4 linked regions of the Diceros bicornis minor genome follow. The protein of the gene in region 1 purifies or fractionates together with the protein of each later gene. This does not show direct contact. Links are inferred from orthologs where the notes say so. Each region holds a gene or a part of one and is shown in the gene's direction. Other genes may lie near its edges.

Region 1 (7,550 bases):
TTCCAGCCCAAAGGAGCATTAAGTACAAAAACTCAGAGGTGAGAGAATTGTAGTTATTTAGGAAACTGCAAGTCATTCAGAAGAGTGGAGACAAGAGTTCAAAGGAACGTGGCTGAGCATTGAGGCTGGACTTGTTGGCAGCGGCTGGCCATGGAGGGCCATGTGGAGCATGCTAAGGACTTTGGACCTTATCTGTGACCCCTTGATTCAATTTGTATTTAAGAAAGCCCACTCCTGTCCGCCCCGTGGCTTAGCGATTACGTGTGGGCGCTCCGCTACTGGTGGCCCGGGTTGGGATCCCGGGCGCGCGCACCGACACACCGCTTCTCCGGCCATGCTGAGGCCGGGTCCCACATACAGCAACTAGAAGGATGTGCAACTATGACATACAACTATCTACCGGGGCTTTGGGGAGAAAAAGGGAAAAAAAGGAAGAGGATTGGCAATAGATGTTAGCTCACAGCCGGCCTTCCTCAGCAAAAAGAGGAGGATTGGCATGGATGTTAGCTCAGGGCTGATCTTCCTCGCAAAAAAAAAAAGAAAAAAAAGAAAGCCCACTCCAGCCGCAATGTAGATATTGACTTGGAAGAGGGCAGGATGATAAGTAAGCAGGCCAGAGCATCCCTCCAGGAAGGATGGTGTCATGGACCACGTCAAATGATGGAAATAGAGTCAGGAGGTGGAGGAAGCGAAGTCACAAGACTTGGGGTCCCCTTAGTAGGCTCAGCGTCAGAGGCCACCCTCGAGGCCTGAGAGGTGTATGCAGCTTTGACTTACAACTTGAGCAAAGGAAATTCTAAGATGAAAACTTAGAGCTGGTGGGAGAATTTCAATGACCAAGTTTAAGTTGTCACTGGCTGTCTGATATTTTCCCACTAAAGAGAAGCTCAGAAATGTGGGCTCAGAGGATGCACCTGAGATGGTCTGGAGGCTGCTCCTACCGGAGGGGGTTAACTGTCAGGCCAGTTTCCTAGGGACTTTCAAGGTTCAGTAAATGCCAGGCAATGTCCAGTTCTTAACGGCAGGTGGCAGCATCACAACTCACAGAAGGCAAAGCAAGAAACTCTTTCCGACGACTAAAAATAACTGCAAACCCCAACCGAAAAGATGGATTTTTTTTTTTTGTCATTAATTTTTGCATTCTGAAGTGACTGATGTGGCCAGGTTGTAATCAGCAAGTTTTGCTACAGTTACAGCAGGTTTTCACACCTGAGTGTGACTTTTACTTCACAATTTGCCTCATTCCAATTTCTTTTCACTATTTAACACTAATCACACATACATTCAAAACACTACTGCCTCTAGTGTGTTTTTTTCCTCTGCGTGGAATGATCTTGGGCAGCGTTCTTTTAAGTTTCTGAGTCTGTGTCTGTAGAAAAGAATTTTTTATTGAAAAGACAATGTAACAAATGTTGAATTTTTTTTGTCACCCACAATTGCTTCATTTCAACACAATTATTTTTACTCTTAAATGTTCCCTTCCAAATCTAGTCCATATGCATATATTTTTACACAGACATACTCAGAGTCTGTTTTATCAATGCTGCATTTTAAAAGGAAGTGCATTTTTTTTTCCTTTTCTCTAGGCATCTAGTCTCTTCTGAGATCTCACCCACTTCCTTAGCTTTAAATATCACATTGCACAGAAAAGCAGCCACATCTTCCTCTCTAGTGAACCTCTTATTTATTCATCCATCCATCCATTTATTCACTCCATGCACTGTGCTGGGAGCTGGGAATACAAATGTAAAAAGGCGTGGTCCTGTTTGTCTGGGAGCTTGTAGAGCATTGGGGTGGGGGTGGGGGGACACAAAAACACACACAAATGATAATGCTGCAATGAGATTGGAGGTACAGTGGAAATTTTGAGGAAGAAACCCTAAAACTGACTTGGGGGCCTAAAGAAAGGGAAGAAGGCCAACTGAGCAGAGGAAACTGCATGTGCAAAGATACGGGCACTCAAAAGATCATGGCACCTTCTGGAAACCACAGTGGTTTGGTATTGGTGGAGTGTGTTGGCTGGAGACTGAGAGGGTGGGGTTGGCAGGCAAGGGCCAGATCCATAAGGATCTTGCAAAGGACTTGAGATCTTATTTTGTAGATGATAAATATCTTAGTTCCAACTGATTTTCCACTCTGCAGCCAGAGTGATACCTATTTTGAAGATGAAAATCTGACTGTGTGTCATTCTCCCCCTACCCCCGCCCCCACCTCCCCAGCCCTGCTTCAGTATCCCATAGAATCAAGACCCTAGTTTATGGCTTCCTTGAGTTCTCTCTTACTTTATGGCCTGTGCACATGCTGTACTCTCTCCGGAGAACTCTTTTCCTCTCAGGCTAACCAGGGTCTCAGCTTAAACCTCTCTCCTCAGCCTTCCCTGAACCAGACTGGGTCAGGTCCCCTGCTATATGCTCCCAAAGCTGCCATCACTGCGAGTGTCATACTCTCGAAGGTATGTCGTGTCCTTTAGGCTGCAAGCTCTGTGATGCGTTATCCTGCCATCTACAGAGTAGACGCCCAGTTAATGTTGTGAAGAGGACTAATGAAGGCATTGGGATTTTCAACAGCACACTGGATATTTCCACCTGCATGTCTCCTGAAACAATGAACTCTACATTTCCAAAACTGGGGCATCATCCTTACCTGCCTCTTCCCTGTACCTCATCACCTCCCTCTCCCCCGCCCAGTCAGCTGCTCCTCTTGACTGGCAAATTTCTCTGTTGTTCTCCCCACTTGAAGCAGGGAGCTGCAATTCTTCCTTCATTTCCTCCTCCTCTCTGCTCAGCAGCTAAGTCTTCCCTTTCATTTCTTTCTTTTTTTTTTAATCTGGCTACCATTCTAGAATAAAGTATCATAGTGGGGGAAAAAATGGGTTTTAGAACAAGACAGGCCTAGCTTTAAATCTCAAGTCTACTATATTTGGGTTTCCTTGGGTAAGTTACTAACCACTCTAAGCCTCAGTTTCTGAGTCTGTAAAATGGGGACATTATCCACCCTGTAGAAACACTATGACTTTAGTACACATCAGGTGGTAAACAGATTGGTCCTCTTGTTATTTTCACCTCATATCAGACATCTACTGCTCAGAAATCTTCAGAGGTTTCATATCACTTGAAAATGAAACTTAAGCCATACATCTTGGCCTTGTCTCTCATTACTCCTCCCCCTAAATCCTAAATTCTCTCCAATCTGAAATATTGGCTGATTCCGTCACTCTTTCCTCTCTGCTTTCACGTTGCAGTTCAAACACCAAGTTCTCCCTGATTACCTGAGCACCAAGTAACTGGCTCCCTCCTCTGCAGTCCTATATATAGTTCAATGGCACTAGGGCCAACTGTTTTGCCTTGCAGACTAGGCAACTCTGCTCTAGATTACAAACTGCTGAAAGCTGAGGCTTTGTCGTGTTCATCTGTTATCCTGCATAGCGCCTCGAGTGCAGTTGATGCTCAATAAATCTTTGGTGAAAGAACAATTAATTTTCCTTTTTCAATGGGCTTGTTTTCTCTATAGAATCAGGTGTTTGGTTATCCTCATCTCCCTGACTATTTTGTTGGCTTCCAGAGAGCACATTACCATTAGATGCATTTTGTTCTCTCCTTCAATTGGAAAGAGATTTTGGAACCGAAAAATAAAAGTTACTTCTCCAAGCCTCATCTTCTGCCACTCCCCCGTACTCACCCCGCCTAGTACAGGAATCGAACTACTTAGCATTGTACAGAACACGATTCTCTCTCACGCCTCCCTTCCTTTGTACCTGCGTGCCGTTCCCTTCGCCTGGAATGCCCTTACCCCGCCTTCTCTGTCTGGCGAACTCCTACTCATCCTCCAAGACTCGGCTCAGACATTACCACATCACCTTCTCTGGGAAGGCTTTTCTGAGATGGGCAGAGTGGCGACCCCTCTCCCCGCCTTTTAGCTTCCTTAGCATTCCTTTTAGCTTCTTGAGCATTCCCCAAGTAATTCTAACAGTACTTATGGCGTTGTTTACATTTCTGCCAATTTTCTAGACGGTGAATTCCTTGAGGGCCAGGATTTCTGTTCGTCGTTGTACCTGCTATACCTTGCTCAGTGCTTAGCATGCATTCGACACTTGATTAAATCAACGAGGGAACGAATCTGTTAACTCATCTAACACTGCAGAGTTTGGACAGGATTCTCAAATATTTCAAGACCTAGTCTTCTATTTGGAGTGCTTCGTGCTGGAGACTCCCCTCTCTCCTCCCCTAAATTGCCTTGGTTTGGCGGAAGGGAAAGGGAAGTGAGTGATTAGTACGTGCATAACAGTTACTTCTGGGCTGAGCTGTAATTTATTTGCTCCGGCACCGACCGGGTTGCAGCGACCCAGGGGGCGGAGCCATGCCGGTGCCACCTGCTGCGGGGCGGTCTGGCGCATGCGCCGTGGCACCTAGATAGTCTCTACCTGCGGGGGCCCGGCCGAGGAGGAGCGCTTGCGCTCTAGGCCTTTTCCGCCGGGGGAAGTCTCGTGGGGGCGGGGCGGGGCGGGGCCGCGCGGGGAAGTTCTCGCGAGACCCTGACGAGGAGCGGAAGCGGGGAGACTGTCCTGTTTCGGCTACCGGGAGGCGGCGGCGGCGGTAGCAGCAGTGGCTGTGACGACGGCTGTGGCGGTGACGGCGGCGGGAACAGGCGCTGCCCTCGGGGAGCAGTAGTGGGGTCGGCAGCCGCTCGCACCGCTGCGGAAGGGCCAGCCGGTGCGGAGCAGAGCAGCTGCGCCACGGTGAGTGCGGACGGCGGCGTCGGCGCTGCTCCGGTGCCTTTTCCTCCCCGCTCCGCGGCGGGAGTCGGCCCGGGGGGACTGGGCCCAGCCTGCCGAGGCCGCCGTGCCTGGGGTTCGGGGTGGCGAGGCCGGGGCGGGGAGCGGAATCCCCGGGGCTCCGGGCTCCACGTTTCCCCTTTTGGGGCGCTTCCTTCCTGGGGACTGTCCTCTCCCGGCCTTTGGCTGGAGGCAGAGCCCCGGACTCCGGGGCAAGAGGCCGGGGGCTCCTAGTTAAATTCCGCGGCTTTTTCATGAGGATTTGCGCAGAACGGGCCCGGGAGAAGCCCGAGAGCACGGGGTACTCATTCTGTGAGTCAGTCTGACTCGGCCCGGGAGGCGGGGGATTCGCGGCGGGCTGCAAGTGTGTTGCTTGATGCTCCTTCGACCTCCACGGCCACCACGTCACCATCTCCTGGTGTCTGGGCCGAATTTTGGGAAGACACCCACCAACCCTGTTAATACAGTGAGTTAGAACGTTTGCTACTGGAGCCATTCGCGATGCCTTTACTTCTGTCGCTCCTTTTGAACTACTCGCTGAAAAATATTTGTCAAGAAAAATAAGCAGCACTTGGTTGAAATGCTCCGAGGAAAGAGTTTAGTGAGAGAGGAGAGAGAAGCACGGGTTTTTTTTCGTTTGCAGCGCTCTCCATATATATGATTGTAAGCCATATGAGTTACAGCTAGTTATTCCAGGTTGTCTTCAGATGCTATAAAAGGACAGTTTGCAGAGGAGCTGAAGTGCACTCGAGGTCTGTTTTTTGGTAGCTGACTCAGAAAACAGTCGAAAAGACACAGTGAGAGAAATTGGCATTAGTCTGTTTAGCATGTCTGTTTTGTCCGTCTTTTCACTTAGTACTTCTCCAGTTGTTGCCTTTTCTTTCTATCTAGTTCTCTCCGTTCTACTGCGGACACTAAATGCTTATTGGTATAATGCAAGTCATTTGCCCCCTCCCCCAGCTTTTTTCTAATCTACTTCCCCTTCCTCCTTATTGTCCCCTTTCTGGCATAATTTTTCAAGGTTTCTGCTCTTTGGCGCAGTTCGTTTTCTCCCTCAATTAGATTCCGTTTTCTGTCCCGGGAAGATACCCTCTTTCCTGCTTTATCCTTTATTTTTAAGCGTCCACTGTGTTCCTTCAGTCAGCCAGAAGGGTTGCTAGAGAGCCATGCGAGACTTAAGTTCTCCCCCTGGGAACTGGGAGGCTCAAAGGATTGAATTCATCCGTAAGTAATCAATACTGCCACTAGGTCACAAGTGCAGCTTGCTTGTGTTATTTGTGTTTTAGTTTTTCTTCACTTTAAGATCATGCTTTTGTGCCTGCTTATGCTTTTCTTTCTATATCACTTTTATGTTAGTAAGGAAGATTGGGTCAGTTGGGGGCTTGTGTGACTTCTTTTTGGCTTTTAGTGGGGGTGGTTAACGTTAAAAAATGAAAACCAATCACAGACCTATATTACAATAGAGTTAAGATAACATGAAACATTTAAGGGAATAGAATTTATTTAGACCATTAATAAATTAAAGCTTGCCTATGGTAATAGTACTAATTATTTTTTACTAGGCTTTATTTATTTATATTTTATTTATTTATTTTTTAAAGATAAGGGTTATTCTTTTTTTTTTTTTGGTGAGAAACATCAGCCCTGAGGTAACATCTGTGCCAATCCTCCTCTTTTAGCAGAGGAAGACTGGCTCTGAGCTAACATCTATTGCCAATCCCCCCCCCCCACACACACAAAGCCCCAGTAGATGGTCGTATGTCGTAGTTGCACATCCTTCTAGTTGCTGTATGTGGGGCGCGGCCTCAGCATGGCCGGAGAAGCCGTGCGTCGGTGTGCGCCCGGGATCCAAACCCGGGCCGCCAGTAGGGGAGCGCGCGCACTTAACCGCCAAGCCACGGGGCCGGCCCTACTAGGCTTTTTTTAAATCAGACATCTTTTCCTACATCTGTTATAATCAGCCTTCTTTGTTATGGTTGTCAGATTTTTTTGACATAAAGAATTAACAAATAATAAAATATTTGTTTTGTTGCCCCTTTTCTTGTTCAGAATTTTCCGAATCCTAAAACAAAAAAAAGGAGTTAATTCTTGTAATCGGCTTTCTTTGATACTAAAAGCAAGCATTTAAATACTTGAGGCAGTTTACTTGCTCAGCTTGTCTATTCAGGTTTGAGGGATTACTAGGTTTTAAATACTACTAGTTGATGGTACTTAGAGATTTTTCTCAGTAATTCCTGTTATCATGTTGCATGTTGTGCAGCAACAGTTCTAATTGTTAGCTAGAGCAGAAGAGTAAAGGACTTTGAAGAAATGAAGTAATACAGAATAGAGACCCACTATGCTCTCCTGAGAGAAATTAATAGTTACTTGCATAATTCAGAAGAACTTTCCAGGGCCCAGCCTGGTGGCGTAGCGGTTAAGTTCGCACGTTCCGCTTTGCCGGCCCAGGGTTGGCGGGTTCAGATCCTGGGCACAGACCTGCTCATCACTCATCAAGCCGTGCTGAGGCGGGGCCCCTATAGAAGAGCTACACATCTACAACTGTGATACAGAACTACGTACTGGGGCTTTGGGGAGGGAAAAAAAAGAAAAAAATGGAGGATTGGCAACAAATGTTAGCGCAGGGCCAATCTTCCTCAAAAAAAAGAAGAAGAAGAAGAACTTTCTGGGACTACTGAATGGCCGTTGAGAGTCGTGGTTTTATGTGTCAAAGTTCGTTTTTTCCCAGTTGTGCCAAGTGAATATGCATTATTTTCATTTTATGCAAAGACATTGTAGT
Region 2 (7,258 bases), on another chromosome or scaffold:
GCTGCTATGATCATTTTTGTACATGTCTTTGTTGGGTTTAAGCACTCATTTCTGTTGCGGATATACTTAAGAATGGAATTGCTGGATCATAGGGTATACATGTATATTCAACTGTAGTAGATACAGGCAAACACTTTCCCAAAGTGGTTGTAGAAACTTATACTCCCACAAGCAATTTATGAGAATTGCAGTAGCTCCCAATCCCTGCCAACACTTGGTATCTTAATTTCAGTCATTCTGTTGGGGATAGTGCTATCTCATTGTGGTTTTAATTTGCATTCTGTGATAACTAATGATGTTTAGTACCTTGTCATTTGCTTACTGGCTAATTAGATATCCTCTTTTATGTAGTGCCCATTCAAATCTTTGCCCATTAAAAAAAAATTGGGTTGTCAGTTTTTTTCTTTTCTTTTTTTTTTTGTGAGGAAGATCAGCCCTGAGCTAACATCCATGCAAATCCTCCTCTTTTTGCTGAGGAAGACTGGCCCTGAGCTAACATCTATTGCCAATCCTCCTCCTTTTTTTTTCTCCCGGAAGCCCCAGTAGATAGTTGTATGTCGTAGTCGTACATCCTTCTAGTTGCTGTATGTGGGACGCCGCCTCAGCACGGCCGGACAAGCGGTGCGTCGGTGCGTGCCAGTGGTCCGAACCTGGGCCACCAGTAGCAGAGCGTGCCAAGCCACGGGGCCGGCCCTTTCAGTTTTTTTCTTAACATAGATATTCTTGATAAATTCTGGTTATACCTCCTTTGTTTATATATATATATATATATATAGTAAATATATTGTAAATATTTTTTCCCAGTCTGTGGTTTGATTTTTCACTCTCTTAAATGTATCTTTTGATGAACAGAAATTCTTAATTTTAATGAAGTTCAATTTAGCAATCTTTTCCTGTGGTTTATACTTTTTGTGTCTTGTTTAAGAAATTTTGCCTACTTCAAGGTCATGAAGATACTCTCCTATGCTTTCTTCTGGAAGTTTGATTGTTTACTTTTCACATTTAGGTCTCTGATCCATCCTAAACTATTTCTGGCAATGGTGTGAGTGTAGGAGTCAAGATTCACGTTTCCACATGTGGATATGCAATTGACCCAGCACCATTTATTAAAACGACCATCTTTTCCCACTTATTTGTAGTGGCACCTTTGTAATAAATCAGGTGACCATATATATGTAGCTCTCTCAATTTCATTTTAACTGTGTGTGTATGTATAAAGATTTGAAGAAAATAACAAGGTTTGTTAATAGTTGATATATTGAGGTGGTTAGGTTATGGGTGATTTTTATTTTCTTTCTTTTTAGCATTTTCCATACCAACCATGACACCATGTTAAGACCCAGAAAAAACGGATGAAATTTTTTCTAAACTATTACAAGAGTAGACACTATCAAGGGTGCAGGTCTTGGAAGATAGAGGAGGCGTTAGGCTGGACAGCAAGTGGGAACACTTCCTTAGTTAGGGAAGCATCTAGGCTGGTGGATGGGGAGGAGAGAATTCAGCGCCAGCTGACAGAGGCCTTCCATCTTCTTAGTGACCTCAGTTTCCTAGAGAGGGTGGTGCTAGGAATCTGGGGGTGTGAGGAAAATGGAAATGATCATTATCAATAACGCTCTGTTGTAAGTGCACACTGCTTTGTAGTTTACAAAACACTTTCAGGTCCACGTCTCCTGTGTTCTTCCCAACAGTCATGCGGGTTGGGCAAGGCCCAGCGATTATACCCATTTTACAGATAAGGAAACAGATGCTGTCTGAGTCCTGCTCAAGCATTCACTCAGGATCATTTTATGCCAAGCCTTGTGTTAGTTCTCAGTCCACAGAGGCAAAGAAGACACAGCCTCTGTCTGCCCTTAGGCAGCTTCTAGCCTCGGCAGAGGAAACAGCAAGTAAATGGACAATTATAATCCAGTGTGTAAGTGCTATGCGAGAGATAAACGCAAGATGATGTGGGAACACAGAGGAGGGACACCTAACTGGCCTGGAGTGTCATGGAAGATTTTTGGAAGCGGTGACATCGAAGTGAGTCTTTTTCTTCCATTTTGGAAAAATTATGCAAGTGATATATGTGTTAGAAACAGATAAGCAAAAGAAAAAATCAGTCACAATCCTTCTACCAAGACATAACCTCTATTTACACTTTGATATAATGTCTTTTAAACCTCATTGCCTCTCTCTCTCTGAAACACACACGTACACACACATACACACACACGTCAGGCACCCACACACGTACAAACATTGCATAAAAATAAATGAAATCCTGCAGTATTAGCATTCTATAATTTGCTCTTCCTCAGTATATTTTAAATCAGTAAATACAAATCTACATAAAAATTTTAATCACTTTCTGGGTATTTTTCAACACATGGATCTATCAAAATTTATTCAATCAATCTCTTATATTGTACATTTATTTCTAATATTAAATGACTATAAACAATGTTGCAAAGAACTTTTTAACCCATATCTGTACACTTTTCCAATTATTATTATTTTTTTTGTGTGAGGAAGATCAGCCCTGAGCTAACATCCATGCCAATCCTCCTGTTTTTTTGCTGAGGAAGACCGGCCCTGGGCTAATATCTGTGCCCATCTTCCTCTACTTTATATGGGACGCTGCCACAGCATGGCCTGACAAGCGATGCATCCGTGCGCACCGGGATCTGAACCTGGGCAGCCAGCAGTGGAGCGCGCACTTAACCGCGCACAGGGCCGGCCCCTCCAGTTATTTTTTTATGATGAATTCTTAGGGAGAATTGATCAATTTACTTTCCCATCTGTGTGGGCATTTTTATTCTTTTTTTAATTTGATAGGTGAAGAACGGTATCCCATGTTGTTTTGTTTGCATTTCAGATCAATCTTTTCATAATTATTGGGGATTTATATTTCTTCGTTTTTAATTGCCTGTTCCTTTTTTCGTCATTTTTATTTTGGAGTATTTGGGGTTTTTCTCATGGACCGAAAAGAGCCCTTTATATACTGTTGATAGTAATTCTTTGTCACAGAGTTGCAAAATCTTTTTTCCAGTGTTCTTTTGATCATAAACTTTTTCTGAAGTTCCTTTGGAAGAATAGTTTAGTCATGATAGGAAGAACATTCCAAAAGGAAAGAGTAATGAGAAATTTGCCCTCTTGGATATAAAATGTATTATAAAGCTATCATCATGAAAGTATTGTGGAACTGGCACAGGAACACACAGAGATCAATGGATACAGCTCAGAAACAGATCCAAGCATATATAAGAGCTCAAAAGGTGAGGAAGGTGGTACCTGAAGTCAGCAGAGAAAATGGTGTGTGTACACCTGGCTATTACAAAAATTACATTAGATTTCTTCCTCACTCCAAAATCAACATAAATTCCAGATGGATTAAAAGATAAGTGTGAAAAATTTTTTAAAAATTTCTATCTTTTCGTAGCGGGCAGTAACCAAAAAACCCCAAACAAACCCAATTAAACATTTTGTAACAAAATCTGAAAGGAAGGGTGCAAGTTAACCACGTGGAGGTGAAGAGAGGTTTGGAAGGGCGCTCCAGGCAGAGGGAACCCCTCCGAGCAAAGGTCTGGATCCTATAAGACAGCAGCGTGCCCACTCTAAAGAGATGGTCAGAAACCGAACTCAGGGCGCCCGCAACGGATCCGGGCTGAGTTCATATCCGCCCCCGCAGGCCATCATAATTATGTAAAATAGCACTTTTCCCATATATGGTACTTAATATCTGTTCTTCTGGTAGGATGTCTTGGGACAGGGAAAACAGCTTGCGGGGCGGGGCGTCAACCCGGGACCTCCCCCGTCTCCTCCGGCCCGGCCTCGCACCGGTGCAGGCAACGCCCCAAAATCCCGGGCCGGAGGCCTCTGCGAGCCTCCTCATCCTGATTGGACTCCCTCTATGTCAATCCCCCTCCTGAAACCTGGCTGTTCGTTGGGCCCGCCCTAGGGGGCGGGCCTCCCGCCTAGGAAGCGGGGGGGAAGGTGGAGAGGGTGGAGGTGGGGCGGATGGGGAGGGCAAGTCCCCACCCCTCTGGCCCAGAGGCTCCGCCTACCCCATCCCACAGGTCAAGATGTCTGTCCATCAAGACCAGGAGCGGGCCGGAGTGGGTGAAACAGCCAGAGGGGCGGGGTCTTTCCTCCAGGCTCCTCCCCGGAGCCGGCGCCGGGCTGGGAATGGGCGGGCGGCTTCGAGGGCGGGGCGGGAAGGCGGCGAGGAGGGGAGCTGGGTGCGGTGAGGCGCGCAGATCACCGCGGTTCCTGGGCAGGGCACGAAAGGCTGAGCCAGGCTGACCTGCTGCAGCTCCCGCCTCGCGCGCTCGCCCCACCCCGCCGTCGCCCGAGCGCTCGAGAAAGCCCTCTCGGGAGAAGCAGCGCCTGTTCCCCGGGGCAGATCCAGGTTCAGGTGAGCGAGCCCCACTGGCCGGTCCCGCCCGGGGCGGGCGGGCGGGCGGGGCGGCGGCGACGGGACGCGCGGCGTCTGGGGCGCGAAGGCCAGCGTGTGGTTCTCGGCCTCGGCGCGGCGGGCGACCGGCGTGGGCGGGAGCGAACGCCGCGGGGTCGGCCCGGCACTGCATCCTTCCCTTGGGGGCACCGGGACCCCCGCGCGGACGCTCGGGGAAGGCGCCGCTGGAAGCAGGCCCTCGGGGAGCAGAGGGAGGCTTCGGGGCCGGGCGCCCCCGGAAACCCTCCATCTCCCCTCGCCCGGCGCACTCCGCGGCGGGGCACCCGGAGCCTCGACCTCCCCCTGCTGCCGGGCGCGCGCCCCGCCCTCGCCTCGCCCAGTGCCCAAGTTGGGCAAACTTTTTAACCCCTTCCGGGGAGCCTCTGTCCCTTGGACCCGGCCGCACGGGTGAGGGTAAGGTGGGGGGCTCGGGGCAGCGGCTCCTTTGGAAGTTTCCAGGCATTTTCGAAACGGAGGTAACGGGCAGGCGGGGACCGTTTGGCAGTTGTCAGGGCGTCCTCCTGACTCAGAAGCGGACAATCCTGCAGCAGACATTGCGCTCGGCTCAGTTTCCGCCCTGCGCTCCCGACTTCCTCATTCGCCCGGCTGCGAGCAGTGGGGCGGAGGAGGGGACGCGGAGAGGTGCGGTGGGTGCATGGGGCAGGGGGACCCGGCGGGTACCGGGCCGCGAGGCAGGAAAGACCCCCCCCAGCCCCTCAACCTTTGTCTTTGGACTTCTGTTCCCCGGGAGAGCGAGGCCCGGGAATGCCCGCAGACGTCTGCGTGGTCCGGACGCGCACCTGATCCCGCCGCACCTGCGGGCCGCCCACCGGGCGGGGGCGGGGGCAGCTGGGCTCTGCTCCTTTAGGGCCAGGCCGGGGCTATGCGTCGTTCCTGTCTGGGCTAGATCCCGGGTTTTCTATGCCCCCCTCCCCTACTTCCTGTGTAGGGGTCCTCACCCCATGCTGTCCTGGGGCCACGCCCAGGGCAGGACCGCACACCCCTCCCATCCCTTCAGAGCCGCGTTGTTTCAAACAGAAACGGAGTACCCTCCAGGACGAGGTTGCCTGCTGTGTTGAGGTGGGGGCTGGGTGACTGCCGGGGCTGCTGTCGCGGCCGCACCCAGCCGGTGTGGGGAGAAGGTTCCTGGGAAGTCCCAGGTCCTGGAGACAGGCGGCTCTCTCCTCTGGGCAATCGAGAGGCTCAGCGGCTTCGTGGTTCACTGCACCCTTTGCTGAGTTTAACAAGATTTCAAAGTAACCGTTGAGTAGCTGTTGAAGGGGAAGAGAGCTTTAGCTCCTTCCTGCAACACTGTGGCCATTTCTGACTCCACTGTCTGAGCCTGGCCTGATAACCTCCCTGAGTGGTTTATTCCCTTTTTGGTAAGGAGGGAGGCTGCTTTAAGGCCTGTTGAGACAATCGCTCGATTAATATTAGTCAATTTATATACAAGGCTGCTGGGGGTGGGGGGAGGGTACGCAGATGTGTAATCGAGCAAATATTTAACTGGCTTCTGTGTGGCAGGGACTCTACCAGGTGGTGGGGGTGGGGGTGTAAGGTTGAGTAAGACCTGGCCCCTGCCCTCTGGCACCTAGGGCAGAGCTGAGACAAATCTGTAGATGACTCTAATGTGAGGCAAAGATGACAGAGACCCCAGAAAGGTACTGTGAGTCATGGGGATTGGGAGAAGGGAGCCAGCCTATCTTTCGGAGATCCCCCAGGCCTTCTCCTGGAGGGGAGTTTACAGTCCTCAAGGGGAAATAGTGGCCGAATGACTGAAATACAAAGACAGCCTGTGATGAGTGTCCCAAGCATGCCACAGACAAAGGACTCGAGGAATTCCGAGGGGCCATTTCTGTCTGGGGCTAGGAGGGAAGCTGCCTCGAGGAAGGAGCACGTTGCAGCTTTGGTAAACTGAGGCAAGCATTTGGTGTTGGAAAGTGAGGACTCATTTAGTGGTTAACTGAGTGGTAATTAAAAGCGTCAAGAGATTGCTCGTTGTAATTTGAGAGCCGCCGGAGTGACACCAGAAAGCTCTACCATTCACATCCAGCAAGTCCTGGCAGTGCCTGTGGGCAGATCTAGGTGCCCGGATTGGCAGGCTCTGTTTGGGGAATGGCAGCCCGAGAGGTGTATTCTGTGGGGCTGCCGGTCTGAAGGGCACATAAGAGTAGACGAAAGAGAGGGTCAGGGCCCTGACTTCTGTTTTTTATTTATTTTTTTTAATTTTATTTATTTATTTTTTTTTGTGAGGAGATCAGCCCTGAGCTAACATCCGCCAATCCTCCTCTTTTTTTTTTTTGCTGAGGAAGACGGCCCTGGGCTAACATCGGTGCCTATCTTCCTCCACTTTATATGGGACGCCGCCACAGCATGGCTTACCAAGCAGTGCGTCGGTGCGCGCCCGGGATCCGAACCAGCGAACCCCGGGCCGCCGCAGCGGAGCGCGCGCACTTAACCGCTTGCGCCACTCGGCCGGCCCCTGTTTTTTATTTTTAAGCTTTTAACCTAAGGGGTTGGAGATGAGACAACTTCCCTCTTGCAGGATGAAGGATGCATGTTAATCACAGCCTGGCTTTTGCCTCTTGCTCCAGAAAAAACAAAACAAGGATCTGTTAGCTTTTTAAAAGGAGAAAAGCACACTCAAAAAATGCAGCATTGTTATGTAGCCTGGTAGGGTATTGCTAGAAACCAGGCGGACTGTGTTTTCTTCACTTCCTCTTCTAGCTAATCCTTCAGTAAAGTACTTAAGACAGCCCTTACCAGCTTGACATCTTTATTTCAAAAGGAGAGGAGGGGTTGGCTGTTGTTTTCCATTGAGCCGGG
Region 3 (7,514 bases), on another chromosome or scaffold:
TCTTCACCAACACTTGTTGTTTTCCTTTTTTTTAATTATGGTCATCCTAGTGGGTGTGAAGTGGTATTTCATTGTGGTTCCAAGGTTTTCTCTTTAAATGCTAATGATTCTTAAAACTATACTCCTAAGTATTTACCCAAAAGAAATAAAAACATTTATCTACAAAAAGACTTATACATAAATATTCAAAGCAGCTTTTTTTTAACATCTAAAAACTGGAAACAACCCAAACATCCACCAATGGGTGAATGGATAAACAAATATTGGCATATCCATACAATGAAATACTAACCAGCCACAAAAAGGAACCAACTACACATAACACACGGATGAAACTCAAATACGTTATGCCAAGGGAAAAAGCCAGACAGAAAAGAGTATATCATGTATGTTCTAGTATACAGAGCTGTAGAAAAGACAAAACTAATCAACAGTAACAGATTTGTGGCTTCCTGGGGGTAGGGACTGGCTGCAAAGGGGCACAAGGAACTTTTCTGGGTGATTGAAACAGTCTATGTGTTGATAAAGGTGGTGATTACATCAGAGTATACACTTGTTGGCATTCAATAAGCTGTGCAATTATAATAAGTACATTTTATCATATATAAATTACTTCTCAATGAAGTTGATATTAAAAGTTAAAAAAATATATAGACTTTCAAATATACAGCTCAGAACTCCAACCCTGATTTGTTCATTTCTTCCATAACTCAACAAATATGTATTAAATACCTACTATGTGCCAGTTGCTGTGCTGTAAGATAAGGGTATAATGGTGACAGAGATGGTTCCTGAGGTCAAGAATACCACGGTCTGGGGGATGGATGTTAATCAAATCATCAAACGGATAAATGGCATCACTACAACTGTAATAAATGCTGCAATAGAAAGTTACATGGGATTATGAGAGTTTGTAATAGGAGAAGTTGACCTAGTCAAGATCCAGGTAAGTGATGACTGAGTTTAGTTAAGATCTGAAAAATGAAAAGAATTCATTATTGAGATGTTCTCTACAAAGATGGAAGATCACGTGAAAACGGCCTATGACAAGAAAGAATATTACCTGTTCAAGGATTTGAAAGGAAGCCAACATGGCTGGAGTACAGATATTGAGGGGGAGACTGAGCAAGTTGTGCTGGAGACTGTGAGGGCCTTCAGACAAAGCTCATCAGAGCCAAGGGAAATCACTAAACTACAGATAATGGCAGTTTTAAGATCAGCTTTAGGTTTCAAGACAATCTCTCTGACCACATTGTGGAGAATGGTTTGGAAGAGAGAAGCAGCATGTTGCAGAGCGACCAGCTAAGAGGCTACTGTGGAAGTGCTGAGAGAGGTGACCGGCTCTGGTGTCAAGTGGCATTGGTGCAGATGAGTAAACCAGATAGATCAAGAGGCAAAATCCACTGTTGGGAGGAGTGATGAGGGAAAGGGAGCTGAGGAGGTTGCTGGGTGGTCCGACCGGATGAATGGGGAGATGGGCAACTCCAAGAATGGGTCAGGTTTGGGAGAAAGACCATCAGTGTGGTTTCAGACGTGTGGAGTTTGAGGCTTCTGGACCACCAAGCTCTTTCAGACTTTCTTTTCCCTGAAATGGCCTCCCTTCCCCAGTTTCTCACAGAGGAAACTCCAGTTCATCCATGGAAGCCCAGCTCAGGTATTACTGCCTCCCTCCTTCCCCACACCAGACAGAGCTCATCATTTCTTTTCCTGTATTACCTCTCTAACCAAGACAAACTCCTTTCTTACATGGAACTGTGATACTCTGTTTACAAGTTTGTGTCCTCTACTAAGTTGTTAGCTCTCTGGAGGCAGGGCTGTGAATTCATTTTTGCACCCCCAGAACCAGTACATTATCACCAACTAATAGCTGCTCTATAAATATTTGAGGAATTGATGTGGATACACGTATAAAACATTTAAGAGTTCTATAGTGCCTTTCTCCTGAAGAGCTCAATAAGCCACAGCAGATATAAATACTTGTTTACAAGTAGGTGTGAAAGGTGAGCTATTGCAGGCATTTTGTGGGCAGTGGGAGGAGAAGAGATGTTAGCCCTTTACCAGGTCACTGTATCAGTTAGGAGTATATTTGGCTGCAAGGAATAGAAAACCCAGTCTCAGTGGCTTAAACAAACAAGGGCTATTTTTCCTACATAACGAAAAGTTCAGAGGTAGGCTGTTGCTGGCTTTGGTGGAATGTCCAGGAGTACCACTTTGACTCTATCTCCCACTCTGTCATTCTGATTCTATTGGCTTTTTGGCCTCATGTTCATTGTCTCTTGGTTGCAATCTGGTTGCAGCCTCACTGGGCATCTCATTCGTGTTCAAGGCATAAAGAAAGTGGGAAATAGAAGGGCAGAGCCAGGAAAAGATTTCTCAGAAGCTCTCGAGCCAACTCCCTCTTTCAACTCATTAGCCAGAACTGGGTCAATGACTTCCTTAGCTGCAAGAAAGCCTGGGAAATCAGGAATGGGATTGTCATGGTAGTCTTACATCAATTCTGATCCTCGGTTCTATTAATAGGGAAGAAAAGGAGAATGGTTTGGCTATTGGGGAAGGCAACTCACACTATCTGCCACCAAACAAATATTGTCCAACTGTGCTGTCCTACAGTTATATATATAGGTGGGAATGAATCCTTTCTAATGTCTCTAGAAACAAGACACCAATGGCAGAGTTACTTCATATGAATGTGAGACATTGGGCCCCCGAGGCTTCCAGCCCCCAATGTCCCCAGTTTCCAAATAGTTGCCTCACTCATCATTTTCCCCATCCCTTTCAACCAGAAGCATTTTTTCACAAATTATTTGATCCAAGCCAGCACATATCTATCCCTTAAGATAAATAACAGCATTTCCATCAACTAGCTCCTGCTCTGGCCACTCAGCAGAAGACCTGATGGGATCTCTCTGGGCTCATGGAAATGTCTTCTCTACTAATTTATCTTTTCTTCCTTTTTGTATTAGAATACTAGCAGTCATATGTTTAATGAAAACAAGCATTAGGAGTCCAGAGAAGGAGAATGTCTGGGTAATGTTTCAGATTTTTTATTTTTTAGTAGCGATCAAATGCAAAATGTTTTGTGAGTTTTGGTTTGAGCACAGTTTTTCAGATTTCATGCCCATGATCATTTATTACAGTTCCAAAGGAGGAAAGGGCAGGAGGAACACAGGACAAACAGGTGGGAAGCAAGTACCTTGTTGGCTTCCACTGGCTACATGTATACCTTTCTTTGCCTAAACAAAACAGAGACACAGGAGTGGAAGGCATCAGGAGTGAATTCTTTATCCTTGCTATAAATACAAGCCTACACATTGTCAGGCTATAAACATGAGTAATTAAGAAACCAGCTAAGGGCTGCTTGAAGAACATATTTTGATAGCAGCTGCTACAAAATTTGAACCTGGAGACAGGTTGCAATCCGTGTGTGAGAGCCTCCCTGCTGGCATTAACTGCTCCCTCGCCCGTGTTCCCGTGCAATTCATACAAGCGTTGGCATAGCCCTGAGCACAGGTCCCTCCTCCACTCCAGACCAGTAGCTCCTTTAGCGTTAGAGACACTGCCTCCCTCACCAGCATACGCTAAGGGCCCTGCAGAGTGCCTGGCTCATAGCAGATGCTCAAACTCGGCAGGGCTGAGTGAATGGTCCATGAGTATCCTCTTAGCTCCTCCACTAGCAGGAACACCCAGGTCATGGGAGATACGGAATCCTCACCAAACGATTACTGCGCTTAGAGGAATAAATCCGGCCTCAGACATAAACTTTCTGCATCCTCCAAGGGGCCTCAACGGGAAGTGTGACGGGGATTTGTTGGCTAAGCCAGGTTCTTCCAGCTCCTCAAACTTATTTCAGTTTATTTCAGTTTTCAAACACAGTCTGCTTCCTCTCAGCTTCGCCTGCACCTGAAACAATCTACTTCCCCAAGCCGTCTGGATAATTCACGCTCATCCTTCAGTTCTCCTAGACATCAGCGCCTCGAGAAGCCTTCCCTGACCTCCCCCAAGTCTGGATCAGGTGCCCCCTCTATGACCACTCCCTCTTGGTTCTGGATTGTAATTGCCCATTAGTTGGTTTCCCTTTCTAGACCGTGAACTCTGCGAGGGCAAGAGACGATCTTGTTTTCTCTTCTGTTCCCACCGTTTATAACGCCGCCCGGAGCATAGGAAGGATTCAAAATATTTTGGAATAAACTGATGAAGGAGTGGAGTGTCCCCAGAGTGGCAGTGCTGGGCCCTGTGTCATCCACACCACAGCCCCTCCTATCTGGGGAACTGCAGCCTTAGGCCCCACTCTCCCGGCAGCTCAGACTTGGGACTCTGGCCCGGAGAGGCGCGCCCCGCGGCGAGGACCCGCCTCCCGGGTGCCAGAGCGACCCCGCCCGCCCGGGCCGCGTCCCTGCGCGCCGGGCTGCGGCGGCTCCGGGGCAGGAGCCGACGGAGCAGGTGGGGGCGGCAGCCCCGCCTCCGCGTCCCGGCAGCACCAGAGCTGGCGGCCGGGGAGCGAGCCGGGCGCACCGAGCGCAGCACAGAACAGAGGGCGGCACGGCGCCGCTGGGAGCACGGGTGCTGCGGGACGGAGCCCGGAGCCGGGAGGCGGCGGCGGGGACGTCGGCCGGAGCCCCAGTCCTGTCCGCCCCCCAACACGGCCAGCGGCAGGTAGCGGCTCCGTGCGCGGGTCCGGGTCCGTGCCCGAGGGTGGGGGACGGGCTGTCGCGGCGGCCGCTCGGGCTGTCCCGGGGCGGAGTGGCCCCCGGCGGGGACGGGGGTGCTGCGCGCGTGCCCTAGTCCCGGACCCCCGCCTGGGACAGGCGTCGAGGCGCTGCGCTGCCCTAGCGCCCGCCACCCGCTCCCCGCCGCGCCGCGCCTCCCAGGCCCGGCCTTAACGGGACCGCGGAGGGACCGAGGTCACTGCGGGGTTGCCTGGACCCGACTCTCCAGTGAGCGGCCCCGGGCGCCAGGGCCGCCCGGGCCTGTCCTTGGCGAAGCAATCCCTTCCTCCCTTCGCCGCTTCACCCCCAGAACAAAAGGCTGGGGTCTCCCTGAGGAGGGGGCTGTCGCGGGAAGGGCTGGGGCGGAGTAAAGAAGGGCTAGGAAATTGTTGAGCTGGAGGTGGCTTTGGGGATACAGAAGCAGCCTCCAAAGACGAAGCCAATCCCGGAGATGTGAAGTGACTTGCCCAAGGTCACACAGCTCGTGGTGACCGAGCAGGGGCCAGAGCGCAGCTCTCCGGACTCCCTCCCAGTGCTCATCTCCAAGCCCCTGAGGTCAGTGGTCTGACTGTGCTCCAGCGACTTAAATCTGGCCACAAACGGGCTCTGAAGTCCTTTGGAGGAGTGGAGGAGAAGATGGCAGTGTCTGTCCTCCCCCTCCCCCAATACACCCCGGCGGCGGCGTTGTCGGGGGCGGGCAGGGGGCGGAGGGAGAGCAGGGTCGGGGGAGCGAGCGCCCGAGATCTCGCCCCGTGGGCGGGCAGGCACTGGCTCGCAGGAACAGTGCCTTCTGAGCGGAGAGTGCCAGCCGCTGGATGTGCGGCGGCGGGAGCGGGGGCGGCCTGGGGACCCAGTGTGCGCCGCTCTCTGGAAAGAAGTTCTGCGGGGAGAGGCCGGGGAGAGCTGTTCCCCGCGCGCCAGACGCACCAGCAGCATCCCTGACACTGGGGATGTTTTGGGACAGGCTGCATTTGGAAGGAAAATTACTCTGAAGCAGAAGTGGGCTGTCACTTCGCCTCTCTGAGACTTGGGTCATTGGCTGCAAAATGAGGGCCTTGTTCGGCATGACCCGTGTGATTTACAAAGTTCTTACCCCTCTCCTCCTTTCCAGAATCTTTTATCTCTTCCGAGGGAGGATTGGAAGTACATTTCTTGTCAGTAGTAGTAATCACTAGGACTCCAGTTTTCCCTGAAAATTTTTTTTAACTTTAGGCAGAGCTAATCATGGCAACAGAGGTTAGAAGAGGAGTTGCCTTTGGGCCTCATAATGACCTGAACAGGGCCTGAGGGAGGCTTCGGGGGTGCTGGAAATGCTCCCCACCTTGACCTAAGTAGTGGTTACAGAGGTGTACACATTTAGAAATTTATGAAGTTATTCCCTTGAGATTTGTGCGCTTGATCTATGTAAGTTGTACCTCAATAAAAAAGTAAATAAAACTTGAATGCTAAAAATCCACTTCACTGGGGTAACACGCAGATTAGTCCAGTTTTCCAGCCGGTGCATTTTAGAGATACATTCAAAAACCAAATGAGGGGGAAAAAAAGGATATGGGAGCAAAAGAAAATTGAGAAATAACTGAAAATGAAACAAATATATACTGCAAAGGGCTTTACCAAATGCTTTTATGTGCATCACCTCATATGATTCACAGTGGTTCTTTAAGGGAGATATTGTTATTGGGCCTTTTTTACAGATGAGAAAATAAAAGGTCACAGAGGTTAAATGCCTTACTCAGGGGAGCCAGAGTTAAAAACCTGGGTACACAGACTTCAAATTCTATACACGCAATTATAAACAGGTGGTTTTTGGCTGCCTGAGTGAAGGTAGAGCCATCAGGGTGACAGAGAATGGAGGGCTGGCTTCCTGCCGTGCCACCTTTTTGTTCCTTTCCAGGAGTCTCTGTTGTTTTCATATAATTGTGAGTGTGAGATTATGTCACAGACTGAAGTTAGCCAGCAGCAGAAGGGATGGAGGAAGTGTGTGTGTCTAAGAACACACAGTTTTAGGAACAGGAGAAAGCCAGCTGGCCCAGCCTGGCAACACTCTTTGTAGGAGGTTTATTGTTCAGAAACCATATAGTACAGGTTGTGATTTTGCAGTCACTTAAAACACACACACAAAGAATAAATCATATAACCTAGAAAAGATCTGAGAAACCCAAATGTAATTAACTCTAGAGGAGAATATGTAAAATTTCCACCAGGGAGGAACAGTCAACTTTCCTGCATTCTAGAATTTATAAATATATGTTCATTAACACCTAAGTAAAAAATAAATAAATAAATAAATAAAACCTACAAAAATAACTTGGCAGAAGGAAACAAATTTGTTTTCTAGCAAATGTGTTATAAATATACGTTAAATTTGGTGCAGAAATATTTGAAACTTTAGGGTACAGTCACGTTATCTTTAGAGAGAAATCTTGAGAAATTTGTCCTACTGTGTGATCTTCTGGTGATTTTATACTTCTGCCTCAAATTCAGAACTTAGAGAAGTAGAAACATGTTCGTTTTACCTGCCAGTTTCACATTTGCAGAGTTGAATGTTTGTCTTATTCTTGGAATGATAAAGATTTGGTTTAAAGAATGTGGGTTAAGTGGGGCAACAAAAGAGGTGTCTCCCGGTGAACCCGCTCAGCAGAGTGCCATCAAGCATGATGAAGCATCACGAAGTTATCTTTAGGCGAGTTTTGCCTTGTCACAGTAGTGTTCCTGCCATCTGGCTGCTGGAATAGTTAGAAAGGAATCGTAATGTTTGACTGACTTTGCTGATAGCATGACAAAACAAACTTTGAGAGGGAGCTGTTA
Region 4 (7,247 bases), on another chromosome or scaffold:
AGCAATATTTGCAAAAGACACATCTGATAAAGGACTATTATCCAAAACATACAAAACAATTCTTAAAACTCAACAATAATAACTCTATTTAAAGATGGGCCCAAGACCTTAACAGACACCTCACTGAAGAAGATATACAGATGGCAAATAAGCACATTAAAACATGCTCCACTATAGAAAACAGTATGGAGATTCCTCAAAAAATTAAAAATAGAATTACCACACAATCCAGGAACACCATCTCTTGGTATTTATCCGAAGAAAACAAAAACAAATTTGAAAAGATATAAGCACCTCTATGTCCATTGCTGCATTATTTACAATAGCCAATGGATAGAGAAGATGTGATTTATACATAATGGAATATTATTCAGCCATAAAAGAGAACGAAATCCTCCCATTTGTGACAATATGAATGGATCTAGGGGGTATTATGCTAAGTGAAATAAGCCAGACAGAGGAAGAATAATACTGTATGATTTCACTTATGTGTGGAATCTAAAAAAAACAAAATGAACAAACAAAACAAAACAAACTCATAGATACAGAGAAAAAATTGGTGGTTGCCAGAGGGGAGGGAGGGAAGTAGATGGATGAAATAGGTGAAGGGGATAAGAGATACTTACTTCTAGCCATAAAATAAATGTCTTGTGGATGTAATGTATGGTACAGGGAATGTAGTCAACAATATTGTAATAACATTGTATGATGACACATGGTTACTAGTCTTATCAGGGTGATCATTTTGTAAGGTAAATAAATGTCGATAAATGTAAATAAATAAGAGTCTATGTTATACACTTGAAACTAACACAATATTGTATGTCAACTATACTTCAACAACAAAAAAAGATGCTCCACATCATATGTCACCAGGAAAATGCGAATTAAAACAATAATGAGATACCACTATGCACTCATTAGAATGGCCAATATCTGGAACTTTGACAACACCAAATGAGTGAGGATGTGGAGCAACAGAGACTCTCGTTCATTGCTGGCGAGAATGCAAAGTGGTACAGCCACTTTGGAAGACCGTTGGCAGCGTCTTGTGAAACTAAACATACTCTTACTATACAATTTAGTAATCACACTCCTTGGTATTTACCCAAAGGAGGTGATAACTTATATCCACACAAAAACCTGCACAAGGGTGTTTATAGCAGCTTTATTCATAACTGCCCAAACCTGGAAGCAACCAAGATTTCCTTTTTGGTTGGATAAACAAACTATGGTACATCCAGGCAATGGAATATTATTCAGCCCTAAAAAGAAATGAGCTATCAAGCTATGAAAATACATGGAAGAAACTTGAATGCATATTACTAAGTGAAAGAAGCCAATTTGAAAAGGCGACATACTCCATACTTCCAACTATATGACATTCTGGAAAAGGCAAAACTATGGAGACAGTAAAAAGATCAGTTTTTGCCAGGGGTTAGGGGAGGGAGGGAGGGATGAATAGTCGGAGTACAGAGGAGTTTTAGGGTAGTGAAATTATTCTGTATGAGACGATAATGGTAGACACATGTCATTATACAATTGTACAAACCCATAGAAGGTATAATACCAAGAGTGAATCCTAATACAAACTATGGACTTTGGATGATAATGATGTGTCAATGTAGGTTCATCAGTTGTAACAAATGTATCACTCTGGTGGGGGATGTTGATAGTGGAGGAGGCTATGCATGTGTGTGGTGAGCAAGTATATGGAAAATCTCTGTACCTTCTGCCCAAATTTGCTGTGAATCTAAAACTGCCCTAAAAAAATAGTCTATTAAAAAAAAAATCCAAGGCACAAACGTGCTTGGCTTGTTCCAGAAATAGCAAAGAAACCCTTGTGGTTTCTCTCTAGTGGAAGTGAGTGATGGAAAGAGAGGCAGGCCACCTAAGGCCTTGCAGACCAAGGGAAGAAGTGTGAAAACACAATTGTTTGGGGCCATTTAATGTCCCCTAATGACTTGTTTTTACAAAAGCATAATGACAGAAATAGTTGATGGTTATAATGATGACTGTGTAAACTAAATTATGAATAATGTGCTCCATTTTCTAGGGAAATCTTTAAAAAATGTATTACTGTATCTACTTCCCTGAGTGAACAGTTATAAGTTTCTAATACTTGAGCACATTTTCTAAATATAGAAGATCCTTAAGGGGTAGGGTTTTTCCTGCCAGTCAGATGTCAGAGAGCCGGGCACCATGAGCCTGCCTCCGTCCTTCACAAAGCTTGATGCCTGGCCTGCCACTCGACTCCCACAGGTGGAATGCTCGCTTGTGCACTGGTGCTGCAAACAACTTCCGAAACCCGATAGTTCCTCAAGCACTGCGTCTATGGAGCAGCCCAACCCCTCTGTAAATGTCGTCACCTCCAACGCCTGGAATTTTCACACCTGAACTGGATTTTTAGTCTCCCTGTTTCAAAGCCTGAAGCACTGCAAGTTTCATGTTACTTGAACTCTTTAACCTAAAAAGTACCAGATGAATAGTATGGATGAAACTAAATGTATTTATCTTAAATATTCTAGGTTAGCTTCTCATGGGTTAATAAGTAAAATAAAGTGTATTCTAGATGTTTTGTAGAGGTTGATTTCATGTTTCTGACCACATAAATTGTTGACAGTGAAATTCAATGACCTCTGTTGCTTACTGTGAGAATTGTCTTAACCCAGAATTTTCAGCTACAAATGTTGTAATTCGGATGTGCTTACCGAATTGAATTAAGGTTTTGCGTTAGGGATAAACACTGTGGGACTAATTCTGGTATACTGGCCTGGAGGTTTTGTGCAGGATGCTTAAAATACCACAGCCCTTACAATAACTGTATACTCTTCTGGCTCGTTTCCCAGATTTGCTTAAAAAGGGTCAGAGGACAGGCTGAAATTAATGACATATGAATGCTAAATCCCAGTTAGAGGTTTCTTCAAAGGAATAATTAGGCTACACTTAGTAAGAGGGGATTATGCAAAGAAAAAGCTTTGGGCAAATTATACGCTGAAAGAAAAGAAGATGTGCAACCAGGCAACTGTTGGAAGGAAATTGGAGTTGATTAATATTTCAGGAAGTGATTTTTTTACCTACTTACCTTAAAAATAATATAAACATAGTGAGACAGAGATGCCTGGAGGGGGGTGGGCACTCCATGTGTATGGAGAGGGGTAGACAGAGACTAGCAGTAGGATGTGAGCGTTGGGACCCTTCCTGGTGCATACAACCTAGGATTGTCATTTTAGGATCCCTATTCTCTTTATGAAGAAGGAAGGGATTTTTGCTTTCCAAAATAACAATAACAGCAAACACTTCATCTGTGCTTACCACATATAGTGTTTGCCCTATATTAATCTCTGTTTCATTTTCCTCATCTGTTAATAGGGATTACATTATTATCGAATCCTCACAATAACCCTAGGAGGTAGGTACAATAAGGGACTTGCTCGAGGTTATCCAGCTAGATACTGTCAGAAGGTAGATTCGAACCCTGCAGCCTGGCTTGGAAGTCTAGGCTCTCATTCACTGCAGTACACACGTCTTAGGAAGGAGAAGGGACACATGCAACATGCTAGCTCTGTGTGCGCACATATTTTATTGTAAACTCTCCAGAGTCTCCCTTCCCACACCATCCTTAGCCTCCTAATTTGTCAAATACAGCACCTTCCTTACTCTGCTCTTATCACTCCCCTCCCCTTCTTGCCAAAAGCCTCCAATGGGTAGAAGATGAGGAGCTGCTCCATCAGCGTATGGGCCTGAGCACAGGCATTCTGTCTGTCTTAGTGCAATCGGTAATATTCATTGAAAATCCTTTGTTAGATGCGTGGGTTAAGTCATTCTAGGAGCATTCACTCAGCGCCCAGAGTGGGAGCGTTTATCAGGAATGCAAATATTAATTCACTTTCTAGGATACGTTTTTTAACTTAAAAGCCTAAAAAATCCGCAGAAAACTCACTTCTGAGTAGTAAACCTTCGCCCGGAGCTCTCACTCCGGAGCCTCACTGCGGGGCACTGGCCACGAGGGGGCAGTGGGGACTGCGGAGTCGGACCGGGAGGAGGGCGCGGCGGCTCGGCCATCGCTTGCTCTCGCCTGGCGCGCGGCTCTCGGCCGTGGATTAGCGCAGCTGGGGACGTGGGAGGCGGCGGGCCCCGCCCCCGGCCGGCGGCGGCGGCGGCAGCAGCGGCGGCCCGGCGCGGCAGTCGGTGCTGGGAGCGGAGCGGCGCGGAGGGCGCGATCGGCGGGCGGGGGCGCGGGAGTGCGCGCTGCCTTCGGGGCTCCTCTCCGCGCGCTAGGGCGCGGGCACCAGCGCGAGCCCCTCGGCCGGGCCCTGGGCTCGGGGCACCGGGAGTCGGGGGCTGCCAGCCGGGGCGCCGGGACCATGGCGCTGCGCGCCCGGGCGCTGTACGACTTCAGGTCGGAGAACCCGGGCGAGATCTCGCTGCGGGAGCACGAGGTGCTGAGCTTGTGCAGCGAGCAGGACATCGAGGGCTGGCTCGAGGGGGTCAACAGCCGCGGCGACCGCGGTCTCTTCCCGGCCTCGTACGTGCAAGTGATCCGCGCCCCCGAGCCCAGCCCGGCGGGCGACGGCGGCCCGGGCGCCCCGGCCCGGTACGCCAACGTGCCGCCCGGCGGCTTCGAGCCCTTGCCCGCCGTGCCGCCCGCCTCCTTCAAGCCGCCGTCCGACGCCTTCCAGCCGCTGCTGCAGCCGCAGCAGGCGCCGCCGCCGAGCACCTTCCAGCCGCCGGGCGCGGGCTTCTCGTACGGCGGGGGCGCCCTGCAGCCGTCGCCGCAGCAGCTCTACGGCGGCGGCTACCAGGCCAGCCAGGGCAGCGACGATGACTGGGACGACGAGTGGGACGACAGCTCGACGGTGGCCGACGAGCCGGGCGCGCTGGGGAGCGGCGCGTACCCGGACCTCGATGGCTCGTCGTCGGGGGGCGGCGTGGCCGGCCGCTACCGCCTGTCCACGCGCTCCGACCTGTCGCTGGGCTCCCGTGGAGGCTCGGCGGCCCCGCAGCACCACCCGTCGGGGGCCAAGAGCTCGGCCACCGTGAGCCGCAACCTCAACCGCTTCTCCACCTTCGTCAAGTCGGGCGGGGAGGCATTTGTGCTCGGCGAGGCGTCGGGCTTCGTGAAGGACGGGGACAAGCTGTGCGTGGTGCTGGGGCCCTACGGCCCTGAGTGGCAGGAGAACCCCTACCCCTTCCAGTGCACCATCGACGACCCCACCAAGCAGACCAAGTTCAAGGGCATGAAGAGCTACATCTCCTACAAGCTGGTGCCCACGCACACGCAGGTGCCGGTGCACCGGCGCTACAAGCACTTCGACTGGCTGTACGCGCGCCTGGCCGAGAAGTTCCCCGTCATCTCCGTGCCCCACCTGCCTGAGAAGCAGGCCACCGGCCGCTTCGAGGAGGACTTCATCTCCAAGCGCAGGAAGGGCCTGATCTGGTGGATGAACCACATGGCCAGCCACCCGGTGCTGGCGCAGTGCGACGTCTTCCAGCACTTCCTGACGTGCCCCAGCAGCACCGACGAGAAGGCCTGGAAACAGGGCAAGAGGAAAGCCGAGAAGGACGAGATGGTGGGCGCCAACTTCTTCCTGACCCTGAGCACGCCCCCCGCCGCCGCCCTCGACCTGCAGGAGGTGGAGAGCAAGATCGACGGCTTCAAGTGCTTCACCAAGAAGATGGACGACAGCGCGCTGCAGCTCAACCACACCGCCAACGAGTTCGCGCGCAAGCAGGTGACCGGCTTCAAGAAGGAGTATCAGAAGGTGGGCCAGTCCTTCCGCGGCCTGAGCCAGGCGTTTGAGCTGGACCAGCAGGCCTTCTCGGCCGGCCTGAACCAGGCCATCGCCTTCACCGGAGATGCCTACGACGCCATCGGCGAGCTCTTCGCCGATCAGCCCAGGCAGGACCTGGACCCTGTCATGGACCTGTTAGCGCTGTATCAGGGGCACCTGGCCAACTTCCCAGACATCATCCATGTTCAGAAAGGTAAAGCCTGGTCTTTAGAGCAGATGGTATGGAATGTGTTGTTCAGGCTGGAGGGGATGACTCTCACAGAAATACCGTTATCTGTTTCAGATTAATATCCTGCAGGTCGGGAATCGAATAGGGATGCGGATGGCTAGGCGGTTTCCCCGAGGGCACGGTGGATTGTGGGCAGGTAGCTTCCAACTCAGAGTATTGCCAGACAGGGAGTGGGTCTCTTCAGAGAAGGTTCTGAGAGTACTTTTTATGACAGTGCTATCATTTTAGAGTTTGAATAGTTGGGTAATGAGCTTCTGGGATCTGTAATCTTGTATCCAGTGTGGAATTAGAAGGGACCCAAACCGTGTTAGGCATTCATTTGAACACTGCAATGTCGCTTAGCCATGGGTTTCAGGCAGCATAGAGATAATGGGGAAGCACAGAATTTGCAAATAAAGGTAAGGCTGCTTTCACCCCCCCAACGCCTCTCAATCCCTGTTTTGGTGGAGGAATTAGGATCAGCTCTCACAGGTACGAGCTGGGGCAGTTTAAGGACTTCTGGCACAGGCTTCTTGCTTGCCACTTTCATAAAATGAGGTAAAAGACTCTAATTTCAGGAAGTTTTAAGAAAATCTCTTTAAGCTCAGTCATTTTGAGTCAAGAGTCTGTTAACCGCCTGAAATTAAGAATATTATTTAGGAAAATGACGTGGAGAAGCTACATAGAATGTACAGAATCTGAGGACTGTGTCTGAGAGCAGTGTTTCTGGTATCCCAGTGAGTTGGCTGCACGACCGTCAGAGCTTGCTTTATTAGTAGTTGTTAATGTCTCTGATTTTTGTTAAAGCACTCCAATTTGCATATTATTTTCTTGTAAATTAGGGAAGTAATGCGTGTGCTGACTTTACTAAAGAGTTTGCGTTCTGAGAGAATGCCTTGAGTGAGAGAGAATGGGGAGGTGTTGGAGTTAGGGAGGAGTCCTGTCTGTGGATGTCTTCTGTGCAGTGTGGGGGTGAGGAGGAAGGAGAGTCACCTAATTTAACCTCCCTCGATGGTGGAAACCTTCTCGGGTCATCAGGCCCGGCCTTCGGGGAAGAGGTGCTCACTGCCTTTCCAGGTGGCCCAGTCCATGTGAACAACCTTGATATTCAACATATTCTTCCTTGTATTGAACTAAAATTTGCCTCTCTTGATTGTTTCGTGGAACCACACAAAGTAAGTCTCTTTCTCATCCACATGTCAGCCCTCAGCCCTTGGGAGACAGCAGTCTCGCTTCCTTCCCCC

Evidence for each region.
Region 2: the proteins of GRB2 (region 1) and MYH9 purify together in Homo sapiens (affinity purification with mass spectrometry; 3 studies listed by BioGRID and IntAct, with this or other methods). This does not show direct contact. The link is inferred for Diceros bicornis minor from reciprocal best matches to the Homo sapiens genes GRB2 and MYH9.
Region 3: the proteins of GRB2 (region 1) and WIPF3 purify together in Homo sapiens (affinity purification with mass spectrometry; 3 studies listed by BioGRID and IntAct, counting the BioPlex papers as one, with this or other methods). This does not show direct contact. The link is inferred for Diceros bicornis minor from reciprocal best matches to the Homo sapiens genes GRB2 and WIPF3.
Region 4: the proteins of GRB2 (region 1) and SNX18 purify together in Homo sapiens (co-immunoprecipitation; 4 studies listed by BioGRID and IntAct, counting the BioPlex papers as one, with this or other methods). This does not show direct contact. The link is inferred for Diceros bicornis minor from reciprocal best matches to the Homo sapiens genes GRB2 and SNX18.

Annotation. Positions count from the first base shown.
Region 1 is NC_080757.1:55,882,651-55,890,200, reverse strand, and holds the start of GRB2 (growth factor receptor-bound protein 2), read left to right. Parts: upstream 1-4,546; 5' UTR 4,547-4,735; intron 4,736-7,550. UniProt on the Homo sapiens protein: Non-enzymatic adapter protein that plays a pivotal role in precisely regulated signaling cascades from cell surface receptors to cellular responses, including signaling transduction and gene expression.
Region 2 is NC_080764.1:13,206,097-13,213,354, forward strand, and holds the start of MYH9 (myosin-9), read left to right. Parts: upstream 1-4,240; 5' UTR 4,241-4,393; intron 4,394-7,258. UniProt on the Homo sapiens protein: Cellular myosin that appears to play a role in cytokinesis, cell shape, and specialized functions such as secretion and capping. Required for cortical actin clearance prior to oocyte exocytosis. Promotes cell motility in conjunction with S100A4.
Region 3 is NC_080742.1:54,225,606-54,233,119, forward strand, and holds the start of WIPF3 (WAS/WASL-interacting protein family member 3), read left to right. Parts: upstream 1-4,507; 5' UTR 4,508-4,653; intron 4,654-7,514. UniProt on the Homo sapiens protein: May be a regulator of cytoskeletal organization. May have a role in spermatogenesis.
Region 4 is NC_080759.1:21,230,745-21,237,991, reverse strand, and holds the start of SNX18 (sorting nexin-18), read left to right. Parts: upstream 1-4,232; 5' UTR 4,233-4,367; coding exon 4,368-5,988; intron 5,989-7,247.